4 linked regions of the Arabidopsis thaliana genome follow. The protein of the gene in region 2 interacts with the protein of the main gene of each other region in a pairwise test. Each region holds a gene or a part of one and is shown on either strand. Other genes may lie near its edges.

Region 1 (3,870 bases), on a different chromosome or scaffold from region 2:
AAATTATACCTTTGATTTGCAGGTATCTTCACGGTATCGGGAATAGTAGATTCGTTCATATACCATGGACAACGAGCAATTAAGAAGAAAATGGAGATTGGTAAATTCAACTGAGTTGTTTGATATTCTCCACACTTTCTTGATCAGCTACTGGAGAATCATCTCTACGGGTTTTACAGTTAGACATTAGGTTTGAATTTGTGACAATGCGATGATTTAAAGAATTTTGTAGTACTGTAAGATATTCCAGGATCTGAACTTTGCCTTTCACTATTCACTATCTCTTCATAGGCAACATACAAAGTGTAAAATGTTGTTATCACCGATTGAAACGAATGTTAATTTTTCCTATTTAATTTGAGCTCATTTGTTTAAAGTGTAGTCTAAATCTGAAGATACCGATCTTGCTTTATGTTATTAAACTAAAGCCTTGTTTTTTTAAGTGTCTACGTTTGTTGATAATCAGAGAAAGTGGTTTCTTAGATTAGCTTAAAGCCATGGATTGAAATACACTAAAGTTGATTCAGGATGCTTCCTCATTTACAGTCTAAGCAACACTTCCAGAATTTAGTTATTACGAGAAGTGAGTTACATGTTTTGTAGATTTAGAAGGAGTTTTTGCAGTTTCATACCAATCAAGTTTTTATAGTTAAGGAATTTAGTTTCTTCTACTTTGATCGTTGTTCTTTTGTGCCAATTTAACTTGAACTAAGAAAATCAAGGAACTACAAAAATTACATAAGAAATCTCACACGGTCGAAGCATGCCAAAAAAAAACAGCTTGGACCGACGCAGAGATTAACACTAATTAACATCAAAGTAGATAAACTTATTTGATATTAACATAACAAACCCCCTTAATAATAATAAAATCTCTGCAATGACCAAAAACTCCATCGCAGAGAGCTCTAAAGTCCCTAAAATACCCCTATGGCAACATCTAATTTACAAGACTCGAACACTGAAGAATCGAATCCCAATCGATCTCGTACGACGGATACTTCTCCAACGCGTTCTCGTTCCACGGCGGCTGAATCTCCTCCTCCGTATCACCAAACGTCAGCTCCGACAACGGCGAAGAAGATCCACCAGATCCATAACTCTCCGTTAACAGCGGCGAAGATCCGGCGCTAGAGTAGTCCTCCTCCGGTAGTTTCACTGCGACGGTTGATGAACGTTTCCGAGAAGAAGACTTCTTCGTTGATCTCACCTGTTTCTGCGTCGTCTCAGCTAAGTTTTGACAAATAGCTTCAAGCTTAGCGTCGACTGATGATTGAAGAGGTTGATACTCGTCGTTATGACGGAGATCAGGGAAATTAAGCCGCGCAAAATCTCCTCGGAGCTTATACGCCGCCTTGTCATAAGCTAAAGCAGCTTCCTCCGCCGTGTCGAATGTTCCGAGCCAAAGTCGAGTTCGATTCCTCGGTAAACGAATCTCAGCCACCCATTTTCCCCAGTGACGTTGTCTCACTCCTCTGTATAGCTTCGTCGGTTTAGCCGCGGAAGTACCGGTTTGTTTCATTGAGACCGGTTTAGGACTAAGATGGTGAGAAAATGAGTGGAGATCCGACCCGTATGAAATTGGAGCGGGTAGAGAGAACGCAAACGCGGATGAATCGTTGGAAGGGCTTTTGATAAAAGGTAAAAGCGCTTCCATTAATTCACCACCGAATGGATCAGATTGTTGAAACGTTTTGTTACTGTAAAAATCCATAGAAGTTGTCATTTCTAATAAAAAGAAATTTTTTTCCCTTGTTCTTGTAAAAAAAGTAAAGAACAGGATTTTTTGTTTTCAAGAAAATCGAAAAAGAGGTTTATAAAATAAAAAACCTCTGTGTAGATTTCTGAGAGGAGGGAATTAAAAAAATACCCTCACAAACGATTAATTCTACAAAGAAAAAAAAACACAAGAAGATCAAAAATAAAAAAAGATTGATCTCTTTAAGAAAATACAAACCAAGAAATCAGTTTTCTTCTATACGAAAGACAGATTACTAACAGAAATGAATCAAAGTAGCGGGAAATAAACAGATCTAAGGGGGATGGATTTGTAAAGAATAAAAGTTAAGGAGAAAACCAGAAAGTATATCAACTTTTTTTTTTGGTTACACTCAAGTTTTTTTTTTTTTTTGTAAGTGAATAACTCTCAGCCTCACCGATACACTTATCTCATTAGCTTGGCTCTTGTTTATATAGGAGGCGTGGCGTGACTTCTTTTTTCCATCCTCCTCATATTTCTCAAATTTATATGTTTAATTAATTTTTTCTTTTGTTATTTTATGTACTATTTCAGATAAGATCATCCATGTTTACGTACTCCAAATAATATATATTCAATTTCAATCAAACATTGTTTGTAAGTTGAGTTTTAACAAGTTTTGTTTTAGAATGGTTAATTTTTACAAGTTAAAATGTTTCTACAAGTTTATTCTATAATCGAAGCGTTTTAATTTTACAATCATAGTTTGATGGAGAATCATTTCATTATATTACATTCACACCGGCTTTATGGGACGTTTCTTCCATAACCATATTAATCTTTTTTCTATTCAAATAGAAGTGAGTGGACGTACACAACTCCATAAATTTTAAAAGATTAGTTAAAAAAATGGTTGTCTACTCATTTAGCTAGACGTCTTTCTAAGCGGTTGAAACTAATGTACACGAGCACTTCGATTCCAGCCAAATTGATAAAATTGAAATCAACATATTTTTACGATTTATTTGGTAGAGGCGTCCAACAATTGGTCCACTAGTCCAGCTAGTAGATTTAGAATTCTTTTGTATATATGCGAAAACAAAACTTCTGAAAATTTTCAATAAAATGGAACTGAGAGAATATTAAGAATGAGATTATCCAAATTAATAGTATATATTGAAGTATATCAAACCGAAAAAGTATAAAAATAATTATTCGGAGGTTCCGAATGTGACACACGTAGACTTCATGATTGTTAAGCAATAATTTTGGCTCGCAATGTAATGATGATATCATGTTAATGAGTGGTTTAGACTTTTATTTAGATAATAAATCATACAAGATTAAAAAAGAAGGGTCTAGAGGGTTAGAATGAATGGCTGAGAACTCCTCAAATGTCAATTCCGTATTATATCATCCATTTAATTAGTTTATTAAACATTTCATCATCTTACGATATCTTATAGAGTTGCATCACTTAATTTATTGCTTCGTGTAATCGTGTACAAATGTCACTACAATCAATACGGCGTCAATTTGCAAGGTTAGACTATGGTGTCATCATTTTATAATGATCAATATTTTGAGGGAAGACGCGCATAAGGAGGTACCACCCATGTGGATGGCTCGTGTCCGTGTTACCAGTTCATCTTTACGATGCTGATTTATCTCGTTTACATGTATTATCATATGCATGTATATTTCGTACTTGCTTGCTTTGGTGAACATTGCATATGTGTAATAACTTGTCTAAGCGTTATTTTTCTTATACTTTGTTATGTATTTTTGATAAAAGTCAACTTTCAGTATTGATATCTACATTTAATGCAAAAACTGAATAAGAAAAAGACCAATTAGCTAGACCATAAATTAACCACTCATATAGCTACAAACCTATAAAACTATGGTTAAACAAATTGTAAAGAAAGAAAAAAAACTCTACGCATGAGAAAAGGGAAAAGCAAGAAAAACTCCAACGCATGATTTCATAACCGTAAGCCGAGCGTGTCCACAGGGGAAATGAAATAGTCAACTACAAAATCATTACTCAAGTCTTAGCTGTATGTAATAACTGACAGCTTTTTGCTGCCTATTTTTCTCCTTTTGAATTTTTCTTTTTATTCAAAATCATATATATATGAAAATTGGCCTACACTCTCCATATAAATGAT
Region 2 (5,065 bases):
ATTGCAAAGACATTTAAAAGAAAAAAAAACGAGAATGTTCAAAAAAATCGTTAGGCGATAGCTAGGAGTTCGATTCTAAAAAAGTTACCAAAGTTTGGCGGTTGGAAACGGTTGGAAGTTATCAAAGCTTGAATCATCATTTTGATTTCTAAGTACTTTAAACAATGTTCAGTCTTAATGATCGACATCTTCTAATATGTCACATGATAAAGTGTGAACCATACCCGTTTGATGAAGAGTTATATAAACATGTTTTATAGATTATGTTGGCAAAAAAAAAAAAAAAACGTTTTACATAATAAGAAAAAAATGTTATAATATTGAATCCTCCCAATTAACCTTTGAAGTATTCTATACCGATTGTTTGCCTTGTTTAGTTACAAAATACACTTGAAAACAAATTCCTTAGTAAATATTTGGTTCTTTTCCTATTCTTAAAGATATCAGTCTAACATTTCTAATATTCCTATAAACATCGTCCTATATATAACAAAAAATAAATTTAAAAAGGTAAGATTTTGTTATGATCAACTGATTCTATTAAATTTAAAATTAAATTGAACTCAAGTCTTTCACATTTCACGGCTTTTTACCATTTTCACTACTGGTGAAAATCTTTGTAGATCTAAACCGCGATTCAACACAGTGACTGACATAACCCATAGTCAAGCTAAATTAAAAACCCTTCGTTGTCTTACACCGAAGAGCAAAAAAGGTTAAAAGAAAAAGCCCAAAAGTCGATGACTCAGGACAAAAAACAACAAACATTACGAGAGAGACAAATACAACTACGTGTCTCGTCGTAGATCAACCACCACAACACTTACGTTGTCCGAACTTTGTCTAGCCAACGCAAGCCTCGTCAGCAACAGCGACGCCTCCTCACACGCTTTATCTGGCAAATCTCCTCCTCCAACCACCACATTCCCGGCGCCGACACCTGTCATTTCCCTTTCCGGTGATGATGATACTTGACCATTGACTTTTCCTCTCAAACACATTCGAACGACGCTACATGCAGTTTCGTTTGAAACAACGTCCCAAAGACCGTCACTTGCGAGAATAAGAAAATCGTCTCCGTTGGCCCGGTCCGTCACGGTTACCTCCGGTCTGCTGATTACATACGGCTTCAAGTAATTATCTCCTGAAAAAAAAAAAAAAAATCCGCGGCGAAACGAGAGTTAATAATCATCATTATTGAAAGTACGGAAAAACTTTGTACAAACATTAGGATAGGGACAAGAGTGTTTTCGTCAAGTGTAATCAATTAACTGACCAATGGCTCGTGACATTGCAAGTACTCCAAGGACACGTGGGCCATCCCAGTAGATAACACGACCACCCGCTGCTTGAATCCGGTCTAGCTCGTCCGGACGGTCTGGCTGTTACAACAAATTTAAACAAGAGAGAGAGAGAGAATGATATAGTCATTGATAACAGTGACACGAAGGATTAAAGAATCTTAAAACTCATAAACTTTATCAGATCCTCTATCTAAAAAGTAAAAAGTCATTAAACATTCTTAATCGTCGTCCAGGTGTTGCATGCACATTAAAGAAGATTCTAATTTCCAATAAATGAAATAATAAATAAAAAATGCATTAAACAATATTAATAGGTAAGTTTCGAACGCAACACGTAACGAAATTCTCGTTTCATTACAGTGAGTAAACCATAACCGTAGATCTAACGGATAAACATTTAACGATGGATAAACGAAACAAGAGAGATTATCAAAAAACGAACAAAACCTTATGATCGGAGGATAAAGCAATGGCTTTGCCGTTACGACAGAGAACGGCACGTGAGTCACCGCAATTCGCCACGATGATTTTCTCCGGCGTAAGGACAGACACAACCGCAGTGGATCCCACCGCGTCGCAGTCCGGCCTCTGAAGCTCGCACCGGCATTTTGCCGCACCATCGGCGTTCAACGCAACAACCTCCATGTCCATGCGCGTGAAGCTACGCGCCATTGACTTTTCCCAGTCAGCATCAGCTTCAAACTCTTCACGGACTAGCTCGTGTAGTCTTTCTCTACATTTCATCGCTACCTAAACATCATATTATTAAAATTAAAAACCGACGTCGTAACGGTCAATTAAAGGATAATTTTTATAATAAAACGACGTCGTACATGGGAACAGCCATGGCCATCGTAAACGCCGCAATAGTGAAATCCGGTGGATGAATATTCCGTCTGATGACGGGAAAAAAACGGATGCACAGCGACGGCGTCTTCCATTTCACGTCTTCTTCCACAGACTGAAGCGACGCCGTATTTAGGATAAGCTTCAGGATCAGGCAATGCCACAACCGTTGAACTAAGAGACTCGCATAGGACGACAACTTCCTTCGCCGTTTCGTAAAACACGGTGGAGGTGGAGGCTGCGACGGTGGATTCTCTTCTCCTCCGCCTCTGTAAGTCACCGTCGACGAAGACAGGTTCTTGTTCGCCGGAAACAAACTTAAACCTCCGGATCTCCATTCTCCTTCTTCTCGCTGCTTGAGACGAGCTCCGTTCTCGTCTCCTCGTTGTCGTCGTTGCCTTCTTCACCACCGTCGCCGTCGTTTCAATCATCATAGTCTCGTTCTCGTAACAAATCTCAGCCATGTGATCGTCAAAACTATTCAACAAACACACTCCATCACTCTCCCCCGAAAAAAAACTAGTGAACGAGACACAGGAGAGAGAAGAAGAAGAGAAGCTTAAACAAGATTAGCCATGGAAGCTTTATATTAGCTTCTTTCACCAGAAGATATAAATAAATATAATCATCTTTATATTTACGGGCAGATGACCGAGACTTTTGAACGGGCAGATCAAAACTCAAAATCAAAATGAAGGAATGAAGAAGAGGAGATTGTTGAATGGCGTGACGTATCGCTCCTCTATCTGGACGACGAAATCTTGACCGTTGATTGTGTCCACGTGTAAAACGTACTTCTCCTAAATCGCGATACGAAACACTTACGTGCACCAATCAAAGTCTAACACTACTCAGACCTAAAGTGAAAAAGAACCTTTGATGACACGCATGCGATCTCTAAACCTCTTTTTTTTTTTTTAAGATTTTTACCAAGTTTTGTTGTGGAAATTTACCTTACCATTTTAATTTGTTTTACTATAAATACAACTAATTACGTCATCACTTTCATCACAACTTACTATTACATATGGAAATCAACCAATAGTTTGTTTTTCTTTCAATCATTTAATATAACATGAGATCTCTTAACCTCTTATTTTATAGATTCTTACCATATTTTGTTGTGTAAATTTATTACCACTTCCATTTGTTTTACTATAAACTATCACTAATTACGTCATCACTGCTAATCAATTCAATAGAAAGGTTGGAAACAAATAATCTTTTTATCTGAGTGAAAACTAAGATGGTGTTTTAGGCTTTTAGCTGGTGATGACGATTCATCGCGTTTGTTTCATTGTGAGCGTGACAATACGGTATATATCATCGTTTCTAAAGTTTGGTGTGTTCAAGGACAAATTATTATAGAAAAAATTGACCATCTGCGACTACGAAACATAAGAGAAAAATGTGATAATTGTAGAATATGTCACTACAAATATAACCTTGGTGCGTGAATACTTCTTAGAAACAATTTGAGACTGCATATGCTTTTTTTTTTAATTAGAACAATTTCTTATTTGCTAGAAAAGTAAGTTCAAATTTGTGAGTTATCATTTCAACACTTGTTTTGTTTCGTTTGTTTTACTTGTCTGGTCTATTAGTTTTGTTCTGCATTTGTTCCATTTGTTTCATCCCTTTTTTTATGCTGCAAGTGCAAACAGTCAGAGTTTTCAAATAAATATATTTAAGAGATTTTATATGGGCCGGGGAACTAATATTCAAAGATTTTAAAGGATATCTTACCTAGTTTTACAATTGAGATGATGAAAATGAATTTGAAAACTTATTCATGGTTTTAATCTTGACAAGTGTCCGGAATATTCAATGATTTATAATCGTGCAATCTTATGACTTATCAGACAGTTCTAAACTAATTTTACATCTATTTTTAAAATATCACCATCTTATGTTTGACATTACAATTTTCTTAGTTGATAAGTAGCATTTTGTGAATACAATAAAAGTGAACATCATTCTCCAATGTTTGACACAATATTGGGTTTTTGGGAATTTAAAATAAAAGCAACTGAAAAACAGAAATGATCATACGTTCTACATTGGACAATGGACATGTTAAATTCGAGTGAACTATATATTATACACTTATAATTTTCTTTTGTGGGCAAAAATTATAAGATATTCAATCAACAATTAGAAATAAACAAAATATAACGTTTTCAATTCTAAATCAATCAGGAATGACATCCAATGAGATACAAGTACGTAGATGGGTTTTGGTGGAAACTGGGGACCACTTCTCTATTACTAACATTTAACAACGTTGACCCCTCTCTGACCTGTTTTCTTCCTCGATGTTCGACACGTGTTTACATTCTCTACTTTTATGTCTTGACCAAGATTTTTTCTGTGTCAACATTCGTTTACTATGCATTAAGTAGGATCGAGAGTTGTAATTTGGGCTTTAACTGTTACTTACGTTACGCCGATGAATCTTATGTTTATGTAATGTGATGATGATATTTTAGTTAGTTAGTATTAATACAAAAATAATTCATAACCTAACTAAAATTAAGGAAAGAAAGAGAGAAGCTCAGCTTTTCGCGGAAAATTCTCTGGGACGTGGCGGCAAGCAATAGGATGATGATTTGAATTATGTGAGTCCCACATCACAGAACAAAACAAAATCAAAAGGTTGAAAAAAAACGAAGCGCGTGTGTAACACATGACACGTGTCCTCTGAAGCTGCATAGCAGTTGCCAGGTTTTTGAAGTTGACAGTAGGCAAATACATTGTGCCACGTGAAAGCTTCATCTTTCTTTCAAATATTATTATTATTAAAATTTAACCTGAAAACAAATTCGTCATCGACCAACAAGTCACTAACCATCACTTTCAAATCTTATGTAAAAATATAAGGTGAAAATTAGTTCCATTAAAATCTATGTTACTTT
Region 3 (6,094 bases), about 19 Mb from region 2:
TAAGATTATGGTGCACCATAGTACTTCTTCACATTGTAATTCAGGATATCTTTATTCTTTGTTAAATCAAATTGCACGAGCCAAAACTATCTCCTGAAAATACCCTTTGAATTTCATTGTAGCAGAACGGCGATGGCAGCTGCAGAGCAGGCAAGACTTATGATCTAGCTGGTTTCTGGATGTAACTAGTAACTAGGCTGTTCTAAAGCGACATTGCAGAAGAGATCTCTGATTATTAATGGATGTGCCTTTGTGCAGCCTTCTCAGATCACACCCTGGTCTAGTTGAAGAAGACAGGAAGAATGAATTCATGTTTGGTCTGGTCATGGAAGCCATACCCGAGCTTGGAGCTCGTGATTTCCTCAGGAGAAGGATAGAAGCTTTTGGAATGATTTACTCAGAAAAAAAAGGAACCGAGGATATGGAGTCAGTGAACACAAGACTGTTCTCAATCCTGCTTCTTGCTTGGGAAATCCACACTCACAGTTGTTTCTTTCATTCAGAAAGTCATCAATAAACCATAACAAAGGAATTGAAATATGAATTACCAATATGATTGATATCTCAAATGAATAATTTATTTCCTTTTGTATTACAGAGTGTCAGAATCAGAGATTCCTTTTGAGATCCAAATTTTTTCAAATTGATACAATAATCAGAGAGGTTTGGATTCAAATAAGAACAAAAACTCCTGCAGTTTTAGCAATCAATAAGTGAGCTGCTACTTATATTCTGTAACCGCCTTGAGCTCCAACTAGCTGTTGTAGGAGAAGACGGTAGAATAATCGTCGGAATCCGCTTGCTTTCTTCCACAAAAGGAAAGTCTGTCATGTAATGAAGACCTCTGCTTTCATGTCTAGCTAACGCGCTGCTCACCACAAGCTTAGCGCAACAGAACAAGTTTCTCATCTCACAAGCTTCAAGAGCTACCACTGTTTGTTCCCATCCATGTTCAAACAAAAATGTTTCCCATTTTGCTTCTAGCTCTGCGATTTTCCTCTCAGCAGTGGTGAGCCGAATTGTCGATCTGACAATACCAACATACTTCCACATTACCTCCTGAAGCTCTCTTCTCACTTCTTTAGTCAAAGCTATAATCTTTGCTATTACTTCATCTCCTAGCAATCTAGCTGTCGCAACAACAGGCCTTGTCCATTTCTCTGATGCGCATACATCAAGTCTTGTGCGTTTCATGAGCTCAGTCGAAGGCTGAACAGCCCGTCTCGCGAAAACCAGAGCTTCTAAAAGCGAGTTACTAGCAAGACGATTTGCCCCGTGGAGGCCTGTACATGCTACTTCACCTGCTACAAACAATCCAAGGACATTGGTTTCGCCTTGTAAACCAGCACGAACTCCTCCACACATGTAATGGGCTGCAGGGACAACCGGAATAGGCTGACGGGTGATATCCAGACCGTGTTTAAGACATTCAGAAGCTATGTTCGGGAAATGGGCAAGAATCTTTTCTCTTGGCTTATGGCTTATGTCAAGTAACACATACTTTTCGTTTCGTTTCTTAAGCTGGTCATCAATACTTCTTGCAACCACGTCTCTTGGAGCAAGCTCAGCTCGTTCATCGTAAACAGGCATGAATCGCTCCATTCCTAGATTATAGAGGATGCCACCATCACCTCTCACCGCCTCGGTGATGAGGAACGCGTTTTCCCTAGCAGTTTGTAGTTTGATGGGAAGACCTTCGTCGGCTAGGGCAGTAGGATGAAACTGCACAAATCTAACCAAAAACAAATACAAAACATAAGTTTATTGTCAACAAGTTTCTTCAGTCGGTTTTTCGGTGTTCACTTACTCCATATTTGAGATCACAGCTTGAGCTCGATGAGCCATCGCCATCCCATCTCCAGTAGCCACCTATACAAAAACCATGTCGATAATTAAAATGGAGCATAATATATCACTTTTAGAGAAATATCATTGCGACTAGCACAACCGAATTTAGCAAAAAAATGTACTCTATGACTAAAATCTCTTTGTTTCTGCAACTGTTTGAACTATTAAATCTAAAACTCTAATGCAGTATGTTTGTGTATACCCGTGATAATTTCGACATTTTCTTTTGTATTCAAGGGATAAATCACATTACTTAATCAAAGTTTCATTTTTGGATATTTCCCATAAACACACAAAACTGTTGTGTTGATCCTGCACATTCTTTCTTCTGATAAAATTGGTAAAATGAAACTTCCATAGAGCTTTGTTAAAAAGAGAGTCTATAGAAAATGTTACCAGAGGATTTGTGGTTGATGGATAGATATGCCCAGCTCCACCTGAAGCAAGCAATGTCACCTTCGATATAAAGCGTACTACCTGAAGAAACATGAGTTTTTTTTACATTACAATCTAAGATATAAGGTGAATGATCAAACCACCAGAAACAAGATCTTTGTGTACCTCATTAGTTTTGATATTCAAAGTGTCCACACCATGACAAACTGTGTTCAAGCCATCCTGTTAAGATACAAAAAGATATGATCTGATAAGCCAATTGATCATATATGCACATGTGTTTTTCAAGGGTGTGAAGTGGAACCTGAGAAGTGAGCAGATCGATTGCAAAATGGTGTTTGAAGACAGATATGTTGGGATCATTAAGTACAGCTTCAAGTAAAGCTCTCTCAATCTCTCTTCCTGTCATATCAGCAGCGTGAACGATCCTACAATGCGAGTGACCACCCTCTCTGGCCAAATGCAAATTTCCATCCTCGCCGTGATCAAATGATGCTCCCATTGCAATCAGTTCACGAATCCTTTCAGGCCCTTCAGTACACACAACCTGAAAAAGAACATTCAGATACAGAAAAGTGAGACAGGTTTAGACCATTACAAAATGCTTATGCACGAGACTAACACAAGCACTTATCAAACAGTTTTGAGGTAATGATCAGCAACAAAGGGAACTTACTCTTACGGTTTCTTCATCACAAAGATGAGCACCAGCGACCATAGTGTCCCGCATATGACTTTCAACAGAATCCAAAGGGCATAACACAGCACTAACACCACCTTGAGCATAGTTTGTGTTACTCTCATGAGGCTCATCTTTGGTAATCACTGCGACTGTTCCTTGCTTTGCAACTTCTAAAGCATAACGCAGACCCGCTACTCCACTACCAATCACAGTGAAATCATAATACTTTGTTGAAGAAGATACCGAAACAGCCCTGATAGGTTTTGAGGTCTCACTGATGGGGGAAATACCACGAGAGTAACAACCACATCTCTCAGCTTTTAGAGCCTTAAATACCCCACTTGACCTATATGCACACAGAGATTATAAAAGTTTGAGTCCAGCATGAGAAACTATAGGTCTAACTAGTTAAAGTTCTACATGAGAACAAAGAGCAAAATCATAAATGAGAAACATGAACCTCAAAATGCCAATTGCTACACAAAAGGGACAAAATTTGGGATTAAAGATTAAAAGAAGTGATACCAAGAGGGCTCTTTGAATGGATTTGCCATGAAAGTAGAAGCAGAACTCCATGAAAAAGCTTGTCCCCTGTAAACCTGCCCCGCAAGATAGAAATTATGAATGTTTCCAGTAGAAACATGAGCCGCCATTTCCGACCTTAAAGCTCCTACAAAAACATGAAGATTGTTGTCATAAGAAAACATCATCAAAACAAAACAAGAAACATTCTTTCTGTACAATATAAAATCAAAATGCATAGATCCATCATCCATGATGCTCAAAATCCAAAATTTGATTGAAGAACGATGAGAATTGAGGACAATGTGTTACTCAAAATCCAACAATAACCTTTTTTATATCGAAACTTCTGAAATGAACAACGATAGAAAAAAAGACATAAGAAATATCGCAACCGTTGTCTGAATTCTGGAATTTAGGAGCAGAGGAAAGAATTAAAAAAAAATGTGTAGACTAGATCACACAAAATTCAGAATCTACGTTGAAATGAAACCAAGTAATGAGAAACGCAGAAATCTTACGGAATCACGGGAGGGAGCTCTCTGATCTAAGCACGAAACGGAGAACCCACGCGAGTGTAGATCAATAAAACGTGATTCAGACTTGATTAAAAAAACGACTTTTCGCAAAGAAACAATCAAAATTACGACGAAGAAGAAGAAGAAGAGGAGAAGGAAATGAACGAAGACAACACAAATTCTGGTAAGAGTGTTTTATGTGGTTTGGTCGTCGAGAAGAGTCCTTGAAATTCGCGCCTTCGTTTTGTGTATGGGAGCCTCCCCCAAGTGGTGTTGTTGGTCTTTCTTTATTCTTCTCTTTTGTCACTTTTTATGTCTTTGGGATCTTCATTTTTCATTGGCCTTCTTCAGTTTTTCTTTTATCACATAAAAAAAAAAGTACTTCTATGAAATAAACTTTTAATAAAAAATGGAATTTATTACTGAGTTAAAAAAAATTGGAATTTATTACTAGGCGTGGATTTTTAAAAAATTAGTGTATAAGATGATAATTTACTTATAGAATATTTCCCAGCTTTCTTCTACAAATATACACATTAATAAAGCCATTGACCCTACAAATATTCAAGTTTATTAGCCCTGTGGTTCATAATTTTTTAATATTAAGAACATTTATATATAAATAACAACGGTAGCTCAAGATGTGTGACCATGATTTTCCAAAACTAAAACTAAAAAAATAAATAAAGCAAATTAAATTTAAAAGAATTCTAACAACTTGTATAGAACTTTAAATATGTGTTCATACATGCACCAAGCATGACCGACTAGAAGAATCATGGAAAAAGAACATTCACTTTTCCATGACTCGTGGCCAATGCAAATCTCCAACGGCCACAACTATTTATTTCTATAACTATAATTTCTGGAAAAAGAAAAAAAAAATGGAGAAAAACTATTTGGATTTTGGAGTCTTCTTTTGAGTCTTTTTTTATACTTTTGATTTGTAAGTGGTGGCTTCTGAATTTTCCATCAGACAACTGAAAAAAACCTAACGAATAATAAAAATCAATAATATAAGACCGAATTATGATAACCATTCAAATGACAACTGAAAGAAAACAAATTAATTAAATAATAAAATTTCAAAAACCACGAATGCAATTTAAAAGGGAAAATGTTGGCATTTTTATGGCTATCATAATTTCCTTCTTTTCTAACTAAACATAGTGCTAATGGTTTGCTTAACTAATCAGGTATAACATCCACAATTGATGACATCCTCATTTGCTTCTATCGGAATAAACTGATTATCATTTGCTTCATCATCTTTAGACCTATGCTATTTTGGACCAGTCATGGTGTTGATGTATGCATCAAGGATGGCCTTATAACTAGAATCATGGGGAAAAAAGAACAATCACTTTTCCATGAGCCTTGCTAAATCTCCAATGGCCACAATTATTTTATTTTCTACAAAACTTACTGGAAATCACTTTGAGTCTTTTAGTTTTGACTACCGTTTTTAAGGGGAGAGATGACTTCTTCTGGATTTTTTATCGGACAACAAAAACGAATAATTAAAATTGGGCTTTTGAAAGGCGGGCCCAATACTGACCTAAGATTTTGCATGGAAATAAGCCCTGGATTTTCCAGAGGCCTAAATTAAACCCGAATCATCATGCAATTAGAATTGTTCAGCCCATAAATTTTTAATTTTTTCACACACATGAGCCGATGGCATTTCGTTGTGCTTCTTACTGAATTTCACGTCACGACTAAAACCTAGAAAATCAGCGAAACACATTAGCAAATACTAATGTTCGTCTCGTAGTTAGTCAATATCTTATTGGTAAAACTCGCACATATGTAAAAGAGCAGTGTCCTAGTTGTTCCTTCTAATGATATAAGATCATTTCCGCAAATCAAATTGCAGTTTCACCACGTAAATTAATGATAGAACCTCAACAATATAATTAGTATCAATAAGAATTAGCTATATTTATCATATTATATAATTAACATAAATAAAGTCTATTTAAATATATCATTTAGTTCGTAGCATAAATCATTACATGATTTTGAAAAGATGGTAAACTTGTGAATCACAAATTCCTTGGCCATGTATAGAATATCAAACCTGATATTAGAATCAAACAAAATTAAATGATAAGATTGTGAATAAATG
Region 4 (4,042 bases), on a different chromosome or scaffold from region 2:
ATTGGTCTTTAAGATTTGGCCATCTAATACCATCACTATCCTTTTCCCATTAAACAATATAACATCTTTATCCATATCCTTTTAAATATATATATATCAATTTCTCTAACAAATTTTGAACGTTCTTTAAACAGCTGTACAATATTACTATTTCAAACCTTACGGCTTGCAAATGCCATTGCACATAAATGAATATATACACAACTATCGCGTGCGAAATTTCTTTATGCCACATGTGTTTATATAAATAGTATTTTTATATTTTACAAAAGTATACTAGTGCTATAGGCTAGAAATCATCTCAGATAAACATACATTTTTGGTCATGTTCGCTATGATATGGTTACCGTCATCAGCGAAAGATGATGACAAATCTATTGTTCGTTTTAGCTGGTACTAATATTAAACGATGAGCGATAGCGAGCAAAGTCATATTCGCTTTATGGTTCCTAGATTATCGATATATTATGGCGATTAATATAATAAATTATGAATCGCTGATTCGTTGTTAATGATAATACTACATGATGTTGACACAAAAATGTGTCATGAATGATAAGGAAACTTTCACATTTCTATCGTTTATCGTTAGCAATAGCAAGTACAAAACTTATAGATCCAATGCAATATCTGTTTTTCTAATAAATAATTGATCAATACAAAAGTTCCAGCTATAAAAGTTTACAAAAATGTAAATGTCAGGACAAATGACGACGAATATACAATACAAGTCGTAGAACCTAAATCTAACCCTAGAGTTCGAATTCTACGCTATATTAATTAACTAATCTGACACGGACAAAAAATAAAAATATGTTTTTCTTATTACGTTACCATTACACAATCAAATAAACCCGAACCCACTAGATTGTTGACCCGAGTACCCAAATCCGTTAACCGGGTCAACACTAAAACCCTGATTAGCCGAGACGTCCGAGTTATTATTAAACCGAGGAATCCCCTCAGTTTGTTGCTGCGTTCCACCGTCACCGTAACGAATACTCGGAACGTTATGACTCAGTCCGAGTTCCGGGACCGAGTTCTGTCCAATCAAATTCGCCCAATCAAAACTTGGCTCCCTGGCTAAACCCTGAAACCCGGTTTTATGATTGGTTAAAACCGGTCTATGACTATGAGGCAGCGCGTTTGATGAACCGGCGGCAAACCCCAAACTTCTGTTGTCAATCTCATGCAACGACTCGAGAACGTCGTCGTATTGATGAGACGAAGAAGATGTCGACGAACCATTGTTGCTGTATTCACGACCACTCGTCATTAGATTATTGTAAGCTTGTTTTTGTGCGCTTGTTTGCTTTTTGTATATTCGACATAAAACCCAATCATCAAGCTGAACATAAAAACAGTTTAAAATATGTTATTCGTTGAACAGTATAATTACAATTACTATATACTTATCTTTTTGGATACATCATGTATTTAACTAAATTTATACCTTGGTGCTTCCATTTCGACGAGAGGGTTCGATGAGACGGTACTCATGCATAATCCAATTGGTTTTGGTTCCTTTTGGAGCTTTTCCAATGTAAAACACCAAAGCTTTCTTGATACCAACTCTTCTTCCCTCCGTCGAGATAACTTTATCCGTACCGGTGGCTTTCCAATAACCCGACCCGGCAACCCGATTAGGTCTTGACCCGTTTGGATACTTCCTATCCCTCGGGCTGAAAAAATACCATTCTTTTTCACCGAATAACGCCTTACCTACAAAGAACCAAAAAGACAAGTTAGAAGAGAAAAAAACATAACTAGCTACAAAGAAACCAAACACGGTTAAGGTTATTAGGTTATACGTACTTGGTAAAACCCATGGATCAAACTTGTAGAGATCGATTTCAGCTATGAGCTGGAGAGAGAAGTCGTGACCGGCGGCTTTTCTACAGAGATATTCAACCATCAGCTCTTCGTCAGTCGGATAAAACCGAAAACCCGGCGGTAAGCTCAATTGGGCTAACGGGTCAAGCTCTTGGAGACCCATTTTTCCTATCACCTCTTTCTCTAGGACAAAGAAAATATCTGCACTTTTTATAGAAAACAATCACAAAACTATCTTCTTTGATTTTCTTTTTTGTATTCTGAGATTAAAGATTTCGAAGCTCTGCTACTCGTGTATGTATATATATAATATAATATTACACCGCCGCCCAATCTTCGTTAACGTGCAGCCTCAATACGGGTCCCACTTTATGTTTATCATGACACGTGGATCAATTAGAGCGTCGTGATTTATGCGATCCCTTTGGTTCTTTGAACCTATACCATAAAGTTGATTATTTATATTAGTAATGTTGTAATATTGTGTGTGTGACTGTACCTCCTCTTATGATTTTTTTTTTGTATTGTCAATGGTCTTCCCAAGTATTAGGGAGTTAACTGAAAGTAATTTGCGAATATTTGTAAGTTCAGAAAAACAAATTAGGTGATTCTTAAGACTAGTGATTTTTCATGCAATTTACGCGGTAAATTTCTATGAATGAGTTACATAACAGTGACAATCTACGAAAAGTATTATGAAAAATAAGAAGTATTTTTTTTTTAATGGGTATGTGCCAAATTGTTTTTTTTTGGTCGTCAAGAAGAAAAAACACGTGTAAGTGAATGATGGGATGAGTTCACTGGATGGTAACATGGAAAGCGTTTTTCATACGGATAGAACTACCACAAGCCGACACATGTCTTGTGTCTATTGGTTGAGTTAGGCGGGATATTTTTCTTTCGTCAAAAGCCGTTAAAGATCAGAGAGAGGGACAAACAACAAACACGAGTTGATGATGCAGACTCTCGTTATTTTTCTATTTGATCCATATGAGACTGTAATTTTTGATTGAAATCAGATGAAACTGTAATTGTGAAACGATAGTATACAATCAGAGGTACCAAGAAATTAGGCTTTTGTGGTTGAGAAATGGGAACACAAGATTTTCGTAAGTCCGTATAACACAAACACGCTTCTCTTCAAACACTTTTTTGTGTACGTGAAAAAGGAACATTTTACCAATTGAAAATAAAGTTCAATTACAATTTTCTTGCAAGTAGATTTATATTTAACCAATTTATGGCGGTTTATTGATTAACATATTTATTTAAGCATTCGAGAACGTACGTGATTTCAATCATGATTAACATAGTTGAGCTTTGATTCATGGTTCTCGATTTTTTTTTAAAATAGGTAAAACAGGAATCTTAGTTAGAAGTCAGATCGTTTATCAGCAAATTTATCGTAGATATATCATATATGTATGTAAGTTTAGGCTTTTTTTTTTTTTTTCTTATTCATTGAATTTTTTGGCTTTCTACTGATAGTTTTTTCTCGGTAAAAAGTTAATTAGCAAACTAGTAGCCCAAAAAATGAAAAATAAAGTTAATTAGCTAACTTTAATTGATATCTTGTGATCACATGTACATGGTGCTGTAAAAATAATTCTAAGCGAATATAACAAGGAATTTGGGGTTTCTTACACTCAATATCTTTCGTGTCACGGTGCATTTGGTGTTAATTCGTTTCTATTTATAATGGTTCTCTTCCATTAAAGATACATCAATTGGTATAGAACGGGGTGATCAAAGTTTTTTTAAAAGCTTTTGTTCTTCTCCTTTTCGGGATTTTTTTGTTAATGTTGGAAGATAATATCCACACACAGGTCTTTAGTTTTAGATAACTAATTAACATTATGCTATTTTAGCGATGTCATGCATATATCATAACGTGTATGTCATGCATATATCATAATTACATAACGTGTAACCCCGTAAATTTGGGTCAAAATACAAAAGTGTATTAAGAATTGATGACGTGGATATCAAGGTGGTATAAGTTTCAACTTTTGACATGTGAGTTTAGTTAATGGTTTGCTGAATAAACCATATGGCTAAACCAATAAACTTCCAATAATAATATGAATATCACACTTATTACAACTTAACCTCAATCTTCCTATATAAAATCAAAGTGCGCCAATGAAATTCGAACTCGAATGCTTTACATTGTAATGGTATAATTATTTTTCTACCATATATAAAATTT

What was found.
Region 1: the proteins of HAI1 (region 2) and AT1G22190 interact in a two-hybrid assay, tested with the Arabidopsis thaliana proteins (one large-scale study listed by BioGRID).
Region 3: the proteins of HAI1 (region 2) and AO interact in a two-hybrid assay, tested with the Arabidopsis thaliana proteins (one large-scale study listed by BioGRID).
Region 4: the proteins of HAI1 (region 2) and NAC3 interact in a two-hybrid assay, tested with the Arabidopsis thaliana proteins (one large-scale study listed by BioGRID).

Annotation. Positions count from the first base shown.
Region 1 is NC_003070.9:7,834,101-7,837,970, reverse strand, and holds AT1G22190 (Integrase-type DNA-binding superfamily protein), read right to left. Parts: upstream 2,191-3,870; 5' UTR 1,727-2,190; coding exon 941-1,726; 3' UTR 560-940; downstream 1-559. Other genes in the region: AT1G22200 (Endoplasmic reticulum vesicle transporter protein), read left to right, coding at 23-114.
Region 2 is NC_003076.8:23,893,884-23,898,948, forward strand, and holds HAI1 (PP2C protein (Clade A protein phosphatases type 2C)), read right to left. Parts: upstream 3,057-5,065; 5' UTR 2,615-3,056; coding exon 2,138-2,614; intron 2,055-2,137; coding exon 1,752-2,054; intron 1,383-1,751; coding exon 1,277-1,382; coding exon of another isoform or gene 1,254-1,276; exon of another isoform or gene 1,145-1,253; coding exon 789-1,144; 3' UTR 521-788; downstream 1-520. UniProt on the Arabidopsis thaliana protein: Acts as a negative regulator of abscisic acid (ABA) signaling for stomatal closure in leaves, and controls water loss during leaf senescence. Activated by the NAC029/NAP transcription factor during ABA signaling in senescing leaves.
Region 3 is NC_003076.8:4,766,618-4,772,711, reverse strand, and holds AO (L-aspartate oxidase), read right to left. Parts: upstream 4,450-6,094; 5' UTR 3,970-4,449; intron 3,597-3,969; 5' UTR 3,580-3,596; coding exon 3,452-3,579; intron 3,273-3,451; coding exon 2,921-3,272; intron 2,792-2,920; coding exon 2,549-2,791; intron 2,467-2,548; coding exon 2,410-2,466; intron 2,326-2,409; coding exon 2,245-2,325; intron 1,870-2,244; coding exon 1,808-1,869; intron 1,733-1,807; coding exon 700-1,732; 3' UTR 559-699; downstream 1-558. UniProt on the Arabidopsis thaliana protein: Catalyzes the oxidation of L-aspartate to iminoaspartate. Can complement nadB-deficient E.coli mutant. Plays a role in stomatal immunity.
Region 4 is NC_003074.8:5,232,685-5,236,726, reverse strand, and holds NAC3 (NAC domain containing protein 3), read right to left. Parts: upstream 2,271-4,042; 5' UTR 1,997-2,270; coding exon 1,816-1,996; intron 1,723-1,815; coding exon 1,454-1,722; intron 1,349-1,453; coding exon 845-1,348; 3' UTR 531-844; downstream 1-530. UniProt on the Arabidopsis thaliana protein: Transcription factors that bind specifically to the 5'-CATGTG-3' motif.